Ovis aries: one gene and its partner. The protein of the gene in region 2 purifies or fractionates together with the protein of the main gene of each other region. This does not show direct contact. Links are inferred from orthologs where the notes say so. Each region holds a gene or a part of one and is shown on either strand. Other genes may lie near its edges. The genes, in order: GART and INPP5K.

Region 1 (4,517 bases), on a different chromosome or scaffold from region 2:
ATTTTCTTTTTAGAGTTTCTTCCTGGACTTTCTTTACATTTTTCCTAAGCACTTACACTGTGCTGACCTTACTAAAAAATCCACGGATTTAAAAATCCGAAAAGTAGGAATAAAAAAAAAAAAAAAACAGGCAATCTATAAGAAAGTAATCATCTTAAAGCTCTCCAGATGTTCATTCAACTACTGAAAAAGGGTGGAAATGTCAAGGCACCTAAATATCAATACAATCCTACAATAAACAGAATTCTATGGAGCCTGGAAAAATGTTCCAAACCATGATAAAAGTTCACAATATACAGGTTAAAAAAAAAAAAACACGCAAAACAAGATGACCACATTTCACAAAACACGTGCATCTGTATGCAAAGGAAAAAAAGTGAAAGAAGATAAAGATCAATAACCATGCGTTTTAAAATTCGTTTCTCTATTTTTTCTAAACCTAATACAACAATAAAACTTCTAATACAAAACCTAATTTTTAAAAGGTATAGAAATAAGACATTACAATTATCAAACACAACTACTGATTGCATGCAACTATTAAAAAGTTTCCAGGAAAATTCTATTCCCTTAGCTCAGGTCGTTTCTCACTATCCTAAAAATAACTAGCATATTACAAAATTTCAAAAAGCAACTAAATCAATGAACAGATATATTTCCCACTTGAAAAACAATGTATACGCAAAGAATTCCAGCAAATCTATATCATTACCCCATAACCGTATGTTAATTGGAGCATTCAGTTTACAACTGAGTTTCCGGCTATTTTTCAAATTCACCTCACGTTTGATTCTAGCTCTCAACTTTTTAAAACACAACTAACAATGCATTTCAACTCGGAACAAATGTTTACGTTATGCAAAATAAAAATACAAAAAGACAACCACTAAATAACATGACCCACGCGATTTTCCTTTCCGAGTAAGCAACTATTTCTTTGAAAGTCTCTTCCCATTCAAATTGTGTGGAACCAAGGGTAAACTAGTAGCGATGACAAAAACAGCGTGTTGGTCAAATAGGTCAATCGGGGCAGAGGGAGCAAGAATATTTAGACCAATACACGAACTCCACTTTTCGCTTGCTAAATTTAGTAATTACTAGTAATTCAAAGTCTCCTTCCATCCTCGCCTCGAATATTCTGTCAAAATAACTAACGTTAACTTTAACTGTTTTAATTTAAATTTCTAATCTACCAGACTATTTAAAATGCTACCTGGTGGAAGCCACAGGACATTAGGACCCAAATAATCTTCTCAAAGGATCCCGACCCCCAAGTGGTCCGAAGCTTGCAGTAATAAAGCGTATTTAAGATTACTCAAGAAACGGCCGTTAGACCCCTTTCCGGTCAAAGACACCGGCCGGCGAAATCCGCGGAGGCGGAGAGGGGGAGGGGAAGCGCGGCGGCAGAGCTGAGGAAGGAACTAGGCCCATCCCCGGTGGACAAGCAGGCCTACAGTAGCTAGACGGTAGGGGATACCCAAACAGGACAGAAGGCTGAGCATCTTAACTCGGTTCTAGAAGAGACAGCCTGGGATTATCTCGGAAAGGGCGAAGTTCCTCGCCGGGAAGGGAGGGAGCGGATGGGGGTGGGGGGGCCGGAAAATGGATCCCAGGCCCAGGCGGGGCTGTAGCCGGGCCTGAGACGAGCAACGACAGCGTCTCCGAAGAAAGATTCCATGGAAGGCCCCGTGGGGTCCCAGCGGTCCTTTGGGAGCAGAAGAGTCTGAGGAGAGCTTACCTTGAAAGCTCCTGTTGAATTTCCCGGAATTTACTGACCACGAAAGACCTAAAAATCTGCTCGATGTTGGTCGCCATGGCGTCCGCTCCGTTCTCTCAACTCCTCCTCACCAGTCCTCCAGGCTCCCAGCATGCCTCGGGAGGAGGCGCAGCGGCCAATTCCGTCTCTCGCCGTCCTGATTGGCTCCTGTGGGAGAGCCAGACCGGTACGCTCCGCCTCCGAACCTATCAGCGAGCACGGCCCCGCTCTCCTCCGCTGTTTCTGAGCGTTTGGGGTAGAGCTGCTGACGTTTGCGCCGCGCACGACTGTGTCCGCCATGTTAGTGACTGACGCAGGCGCCATTACAGGAGAAGTCTCTCTCTCGAGGTGGCTGTGTCGGCTTCAGTTGTCAGTCTTCAATAGCGTTTGGGGGAGGGGGGGCCGTTTAAGAGGCTTATTTTAGCCACTAACTACCCGAGATTAAATTCCGTGAGGAAAGGGAGCGGGGAGGGCAACAGGGTGCTCCAACATGTCTCCGCGTTTCGGCAGGGGAGATCCATTCGGGAAAGCACATTATCAGCGCCTGCCCACCGTACGAAGAATAACGTTTTCATCCCCCCATCTCTCTCCCGTGGCATCCTATAATCAGCTTTTTTTCCCCCCATTTTAGCATTGGGTCAGAGGTCACGAGCCAGCTGAGCTCAAACCCTGGTGCATTCTAATCTCGTCAGGAGCCAGGCGCATCACGAGACTTTTGCACAGTAGCCGGTCAGTTCTGATTCCTAAGCAACACACAAGTAGCTGAACATGGGTTTAGCATTTTGGCGCTCCCCACCGTCAGAGCTCAGGAGGTTCTGGAGGGGAGAGTAGATTTTACGTGGCACCTGGTACCACAGAATTAAACACTGTAAACGAGTAGGGTTTAAGAGATTAGCTCCGGAGGGGAGGTTCAGGCCGTGCCCGAGAGCGGGAGGGCGTCGTTCTTGATTACCTCGGGGTGGGGACCACGGGCCCCGCCAGCCAATAGGGAGGCGAACCCTCGAGGGCGGGGTGGGAGGGCCGAGCGCGCCGGATTCCGCGCGCCCAACTTCCGGCGCGCGTGGAGTACATTCAGATCCAGAGCGCTAGGCGAAGGTCTACGTGGGGACCCCGAGGTCACCCAGTATCGCCGGGTGAGTTTCCTCCGCCTCTCAGTAAAGTTGCTTTACGGTTTGGCTTGGCGGATTTACTCTCAGGCGTGAGATGAAACTGTGTGAACCGGTTTGGCTGCAGGAATTTTCATCTTATTCCCACGTGCCATGGGTGAAGGTTGGCCATATGCTTTTTCAGTTTTAACTGAGGTTTACAATAGCTCTGTCATTTCTCTGCTTTAAGTGTAAGGGCCCTTTTTGTACCTTTATGCTTTTTTTTTAATGCCATGCACCAGAATTGCATATTTTCTTGTTAATTCCGTCCTTTGTCTCTAGCAGGTTACTTAATCCCATTTTGCAGTTGGTTTCTGTGTTATGTTATTCACCACGTCTTTTGAAATGGCTTTTCTTGGCTCTCTAATTCTCTGTTATGTTATCCATTTAGACGACTGAGGCCCAAGAAGGTTAAGTCCCTCCAGGTTTCCCAGCTAGTAAGTCTTAACCCTATCCCAGGTCCTCTGACTGAAGGGCTCCTAGCCACTCCTGGATGTACATTCCCTCAGTCTGAGTCCTAAAACTATTTCAGAGATCTACGATAATCCCTTCACTGCTCCTGTAATTCACACTAATGTCTACTCTAGATTTAGAGTATATTTATTTCAAATATTTCAATATACATGGCAAGTCTGTGTTTTCCATTGACCATTTTCCTTTCTGAGATAACTTAGTAAATTTTTTTCTTCTTCATATTTTCAATTGTATCTGAAGCAAAATTGCTTCTGTTGGAATCTCACCCTCTGATCTATGTGACCTGCAGCAAGTTACTTAACCTAACTGAACCTCAAGTATGTTTATCAGCAAAATGGGCATAGTAATCCTATCTACCTCATAGAATTTTAAAATTAAAAGCATTTAGAGTAGCATCTGGCAAGAAGTGCTCAAGAAGTGTTTTATATTATCAACTTAGATTTTTCTTTAAATATGTATTCCTAGTATTTCATAAGTAACTGATTTCAGTTTTTCCTGTTATAAATTTGCATTCTACGTAATTAGATGTCTTCTGAAAACTAGTAAATGAATATGACAAATATGACAGATTATTCACTCTTTTGGCTTTCTAGAATTTCTATCCCTGAAGCATCAGTTTAGACAAAAGTAATCAAATGTAGCATGTTAGCATTCTTTTACTACTGAGTGTATGCAGTTGTACTAATTACTTATAAATAAATGCCATTTCAATTCTTACTATGCCTCATAAGGCACATTCTTAATTCCACCTTGTAAGATAGATGCATAGAAATCGAATTGCAGACAGTAAGAGCTTAACCAAGGTCACATGCTCACTTGAGCAGAGAGAGAGTTACCCATCCTGCTCAGGATCAGATGCCAGAACTGAGTGAGATGTGTTTACATTTGATTTTTGCCTTCTGCACCAGTTTCCTCTGGGAGGAGGGGCTGCTGCATCCCATGGGCTTAGCTGCCCTTTGGTACATGGGATCTTCATTCCCCAACCAGGAATGGAACACGCATCCCCTGCATTGGAAGGCAGATTCTTAACCACTGGACCACCAGGGAAGTCCCTTTGCCAGCATATTGCATTTTAAAAAAAAGATTTATTTACTTATTTGTATTTTTGGCTGCACTGGATCTTTTTTGCTTTGCTTTTGCTT
Region 2 (3,811 bases):
CTGGGGCTCCTGCCTGCCTTGTGTCTTTCTGAAGTAGCTGGAGCTGAGCTGGGACCCCAGGGGCTAGTTTAACACCTCGATATTTTTCAGGTTGGGAGAATTCCTCGGGGAGGTGCAGCAGGGCTTAGTAACACCTGATTGCCTGCCCCACCCCCAGCCTCCAATCTCTACTCAGAGACCCAGCCTGAAATCTCAGAGTGCAATAATAATTGCCACTATCTATGGTGTGCTTATTGGTGGTGGTGTTTTGTTCAGTCACTCAGTCATGTTTAACTCTTTGTAACCCTGTGTCCATTGAGTCAGTGATACCATTAAACCATCTCATCTTCTGTTGCCCCATTCTGTTCCCACCTTCAGTCTTTCCCAACATCAGGGTCTTTTCCAGTGAGTCAGCTCTTGGCATCAGGTGGCCAAAGTACTGATGCTTCAGCTTCAGTATCAGTCCTTTCAATAAATATTCAGGGTTGGTTTCCTTTAGGATTGACTGGTTTGATCTCCTTGCTGTCCAAGGGACTCTCAAGAGTCTTTTCCAGAACCACAATTTGAAAGCATCAGCATTATAAACAAACTCTTTATATACATTATTCTGAAATATAGGTGTTATATGGATAAAACCAAGACTCAGAGATCATGACAGATTTGGATGCAGATCTTTCAAACTTCATAACCCGTGTCCTTAACTGCTGTACTTTATTATTGTACTGGTGATCTCTAAGGCTGACAGGTATCCTGTGACTCTTGCTGGTATCAGAGGTTGTCCTCTGATCTTAACAGACATGCACCTCAAATCCTCAGAGACCCAGAGGTTAGAAGAGACACATGTGGAGGAGAAGGGTTCTCAGTCTATAGAGCCAGTATTCTTTGGGAAATCTTTAGACCATAGGAGAATCTGCAGGAATGCTCTAGATTGCTGGATCTTACTTGTCTGCCCTGCACAGCTGAGAGATGAAACATAGTTCCACTAAAAATACCTCCAAAAAGCATTGCTTCTCAGAAATACCAGAATTCCTTTTTCCCTTTCCCTGGGTGACTGGATTGCTTCAGAATTCACACCATGACCCTAATCTGCCCAGAGGTGCTGAGACAAGAGCTGTGAGTCCTCTGGAGGAGGGCAGAGCCAGGAGGAGGTCACATCAGATGTGATCCTGCTGCTGAGGCTAAAAGATGCCAGTCCCCAAGCCCTTGGCTCCCTCCAGATTGAACTCGGGCCTCTTCCTGCAGACTTGGAGCTGGCCCCTCTCAGAGGGCAAAATCACTTGTCTCTCACCACCCACTCCCTTCCCAAGACTGGAGGCCTCCTTGTACCTCAGCTCACTGGCAAGGGATCGGTGGGATGGACTTGAGCCAAGGAAATTAGCTCATCCCGTGGCAGGGACACAGCTCACTCTCTCCATGGGCCTCCCGAGGTTGGGAGACCAGCCTGAGGGCCTGGCAGGCACCCACTGCAGATGCCCCTCCTTTGCATGGCTGAGAGGAGAGAGTAGAGGTGAAGGGCAAGCCCTGCCTGCAGCCTGTTCCTGAGGTCGGAAGTTGCTGGCCACAGGTTGAGAAGCCTGGGGCTGATCCCCTTTGCCAGCTCCTAGGCTCCCAGCCTCCCTCCTTCTAGTCCCTTCCTTAGCTCCTCCTCCTTCATTTCCTCCAACTAGAACTTCCCCTACAAGTCTCCTGCCTTTCCCCATAGCCCCACCCTTTCTCCCAATCTGAAGTTTTCCTGCCCCACCCCCACCTCCATCCTCCCTCCCCCACCCCCACTTCCCTGCTCTTTCAGAGTGGGCTCTAGCCTGTGGGGCTGGGCTCAGTGACCCAGACCTGCTCTGTGGGATCAGATTAATCTTGAAACTCTTCCCAAATCTTTTTCAGTTCCCTGGGAGTCGGTGCCCCCCACCCCCAGGAGCCAGCCCTTCCCCACTCCCATTGTCCTATTTGCTTGCGAAGGGAAGAGACCAAGACAGGGGTGGAAAGTGAAGTTGGGGACACATTGGTAGCAACCTGTGTCCAGCTCTGGGTGCTCACGCCTCCCTCCCTCGGTCTTGGGTTCAGGGTTGCCCCTCCCTTGACTCCTCCACCATCCCAGAGCTCCTGGCCTGTGGGATCAAGTTTCATAATTCCTGGAAGGCCCCAGTACATGCTCCCCACCCGGGGATTTCCTCCTTGGCCTCTGCACCTCATGCTCCGGAAATAGCTACTCGGGTGGTGGGTGTAGACAGCCTGAAGCTGTGAGAGGGTCACAGGCCCATTCCCACTCCACCTCCACGGCAGCTGAGCGCAGGCATTCTGGCAGTCCTGGGCCTTTGACGTTGCTATTCAAAGTGGTCCTGCTGATTCCTTAGTTTCCTTGTGCCTCAGTCCTTCTGCAGAACAGGGACCTTTCTTTCAAAAGTTGGCCAGAATTAGCTGTTTTCCCCCAACCTGCGAACACGTGTCCTCTGTGCTCACTCTCATCTCCTCTGCGTGGCGTTCACGGACACCAGCTGCCCATAATAATGTGTATTATTTTTCAGTAGCGTTTTCTTAATTGTTTTTCACTAAGCTATAATGTATGGAGAAATGAAATGTAGAGTCTGGTGGATTTTTATACATATATGTAGCCATGCTGCCACCCATCAAATCAAGATACAGAGTATTTCCCGCTCTCTCATGCTCATGTCCCTTCTCTGCATTTACTTTCAAGAATCCTTAAAGTAAAAATTAATATCAAGAGCTACCAGTTAATTCAGCATCTTTAAGATAGATTCCTGCTTTATCGATGAGAAAATAAATTTGTCCTGCATCAAATACTAACAGCCCAAGCTGGTTTCTGAATCTAGATCTGGCCCTTAGCCATTGTCCCATAAAGCATCTCTGAAGTTCTTTGAGCCCCTCCATGCATGGTACCCGTGGGAGCTGAGGAGGACACTAGGGAGAAGGGCACCTGGCCATACGTGGGCTGGGGTGGAAGAGTCAGTGCCCTCCTGATGGTGGGATGTCTCCACCCCCTGCGGAGCCCCCAGATTGCCTCATTTGGCAGCTGAGACTCCCATCAGCCCTGAGATGCCCTAGACCCCTAGGGCAGGACATCCGTGTGGCTCAGGCAGGGCTCTCAAGGGCGCCCAGCACAGGCCCTGGAGGGACATGAATGACTGTCACCCTTCTGCCCGCAGGTCTCCAGTGTCCGCATGCAAGGGCTCCTCTTACTGATCTTTGCCAAGTACCAGCATTTGCCCTTTATCCAGGTCCTGTCTACTAAATCCACCCCTACCGGCCTCTTTGGGTACTGGGTAAGGACTGAGCTGTTTTCTGAGTCAAGAGCTGGGGGCCTTCTCTCACTGGATGGGGGAGGGCTGACGGCATTAGAGCTGGGCAACTGAAAAAGGGATTGACTGAATTGAAAAGAGGGGGTGAAATGAATCTTGGCACTCTGTCCAGGCCAGTGCCCCGCATAGCTGCCTTCCCTCCTCTGGGGGGCCTAGTGTCCCTGGGACGGCAGGTAGGTGAGCTGGGCTGTGCGGAGGTGAGTGTCTGCTGACCCTGGGAGATCCCGCAGGAACTGAGACCATCTGCCCTCAGGCCCCGGATGGGAAAACAGAGGTGTGTCCCCCCACTTCCTGCCCACCTACCAGGGGAACAAAGGGGGTGTCAACATCTTTCTGAAGCTTTACGGCTACTATGTCAGCATCATCAACTGCCACCTGCCCCCCCACATGGCCAACAATGACCAGCGGCTGGAGCACTTTGACCGGATCCTGGAGATGCAGAATTTTGAGGCACAAGATACCCCCAACATCCTGGACCATGAGTGAGCGTGCTGCTGTGAACCGTGCCCGACCCTCTC

What was found.
Region 1: the proteins of INPP5K (region 2) and GART purify together in Homo sapiens (co-immunoprecipitation; 3 studies listed by BioGRID and IntAct, counting the BioPlex papers as one, with this or other methods). This does not show direct contact. The link is inferred for Ovis aries from reciprocal best matches to the Homo sapiens genes INPP5K and GART.

What each region holds. Positions count from the first base shown.
Region 1 is NC_056054.1:122,632,113-122,636,629, forward strand, and holds the start of GART (trifunctional purine biosynthetic protein adenosine-3), read left to right. Parts: upstream 1-1,597; 5' UTR 1,598-1,738; coding exon of another isoform or gene 1,739-1,801; coding exon 1,802-1,943; intron 1,944-2,045; exon of another isoform or gene 2,046-2,485; intron 2,486-2,820; exon of another isoform or gene 2,821-3,015; coding exon of another isoform or gene 3,016-3,025; intron 3,026-4,517. Other genes in the region: protein SON, read right to left, coding at 1,739-1,815. UniProt on the Homo sapiens protein: Trifunctional enzyme that catalyzes three distinct reactions as part of the 'de novo' inosine monophosphate biosynthetic pathway.
Region 2 is NC_056064.1:22,529,866-22,533,676, reverse strand, and holds part of INPP5K (inositol polyphosphate 5-phosphatase K), read left to right. Parts: intron 1-3,140; coding exon 3,141-3,257; intron 3,258-3,599; coding exon 3,600-3,775; intron 3,776-3,811. UniProt on the Homo sapiens protein: Inositol 5-phosphatase which acts on inositol 1,4,5-trisphosphate, inositol 1,3,4,5-tetrakisphosphate, phosphatidylinositol 4,5-bisphosphate and phosphatidylinositol 3,4,5-trisphosphate.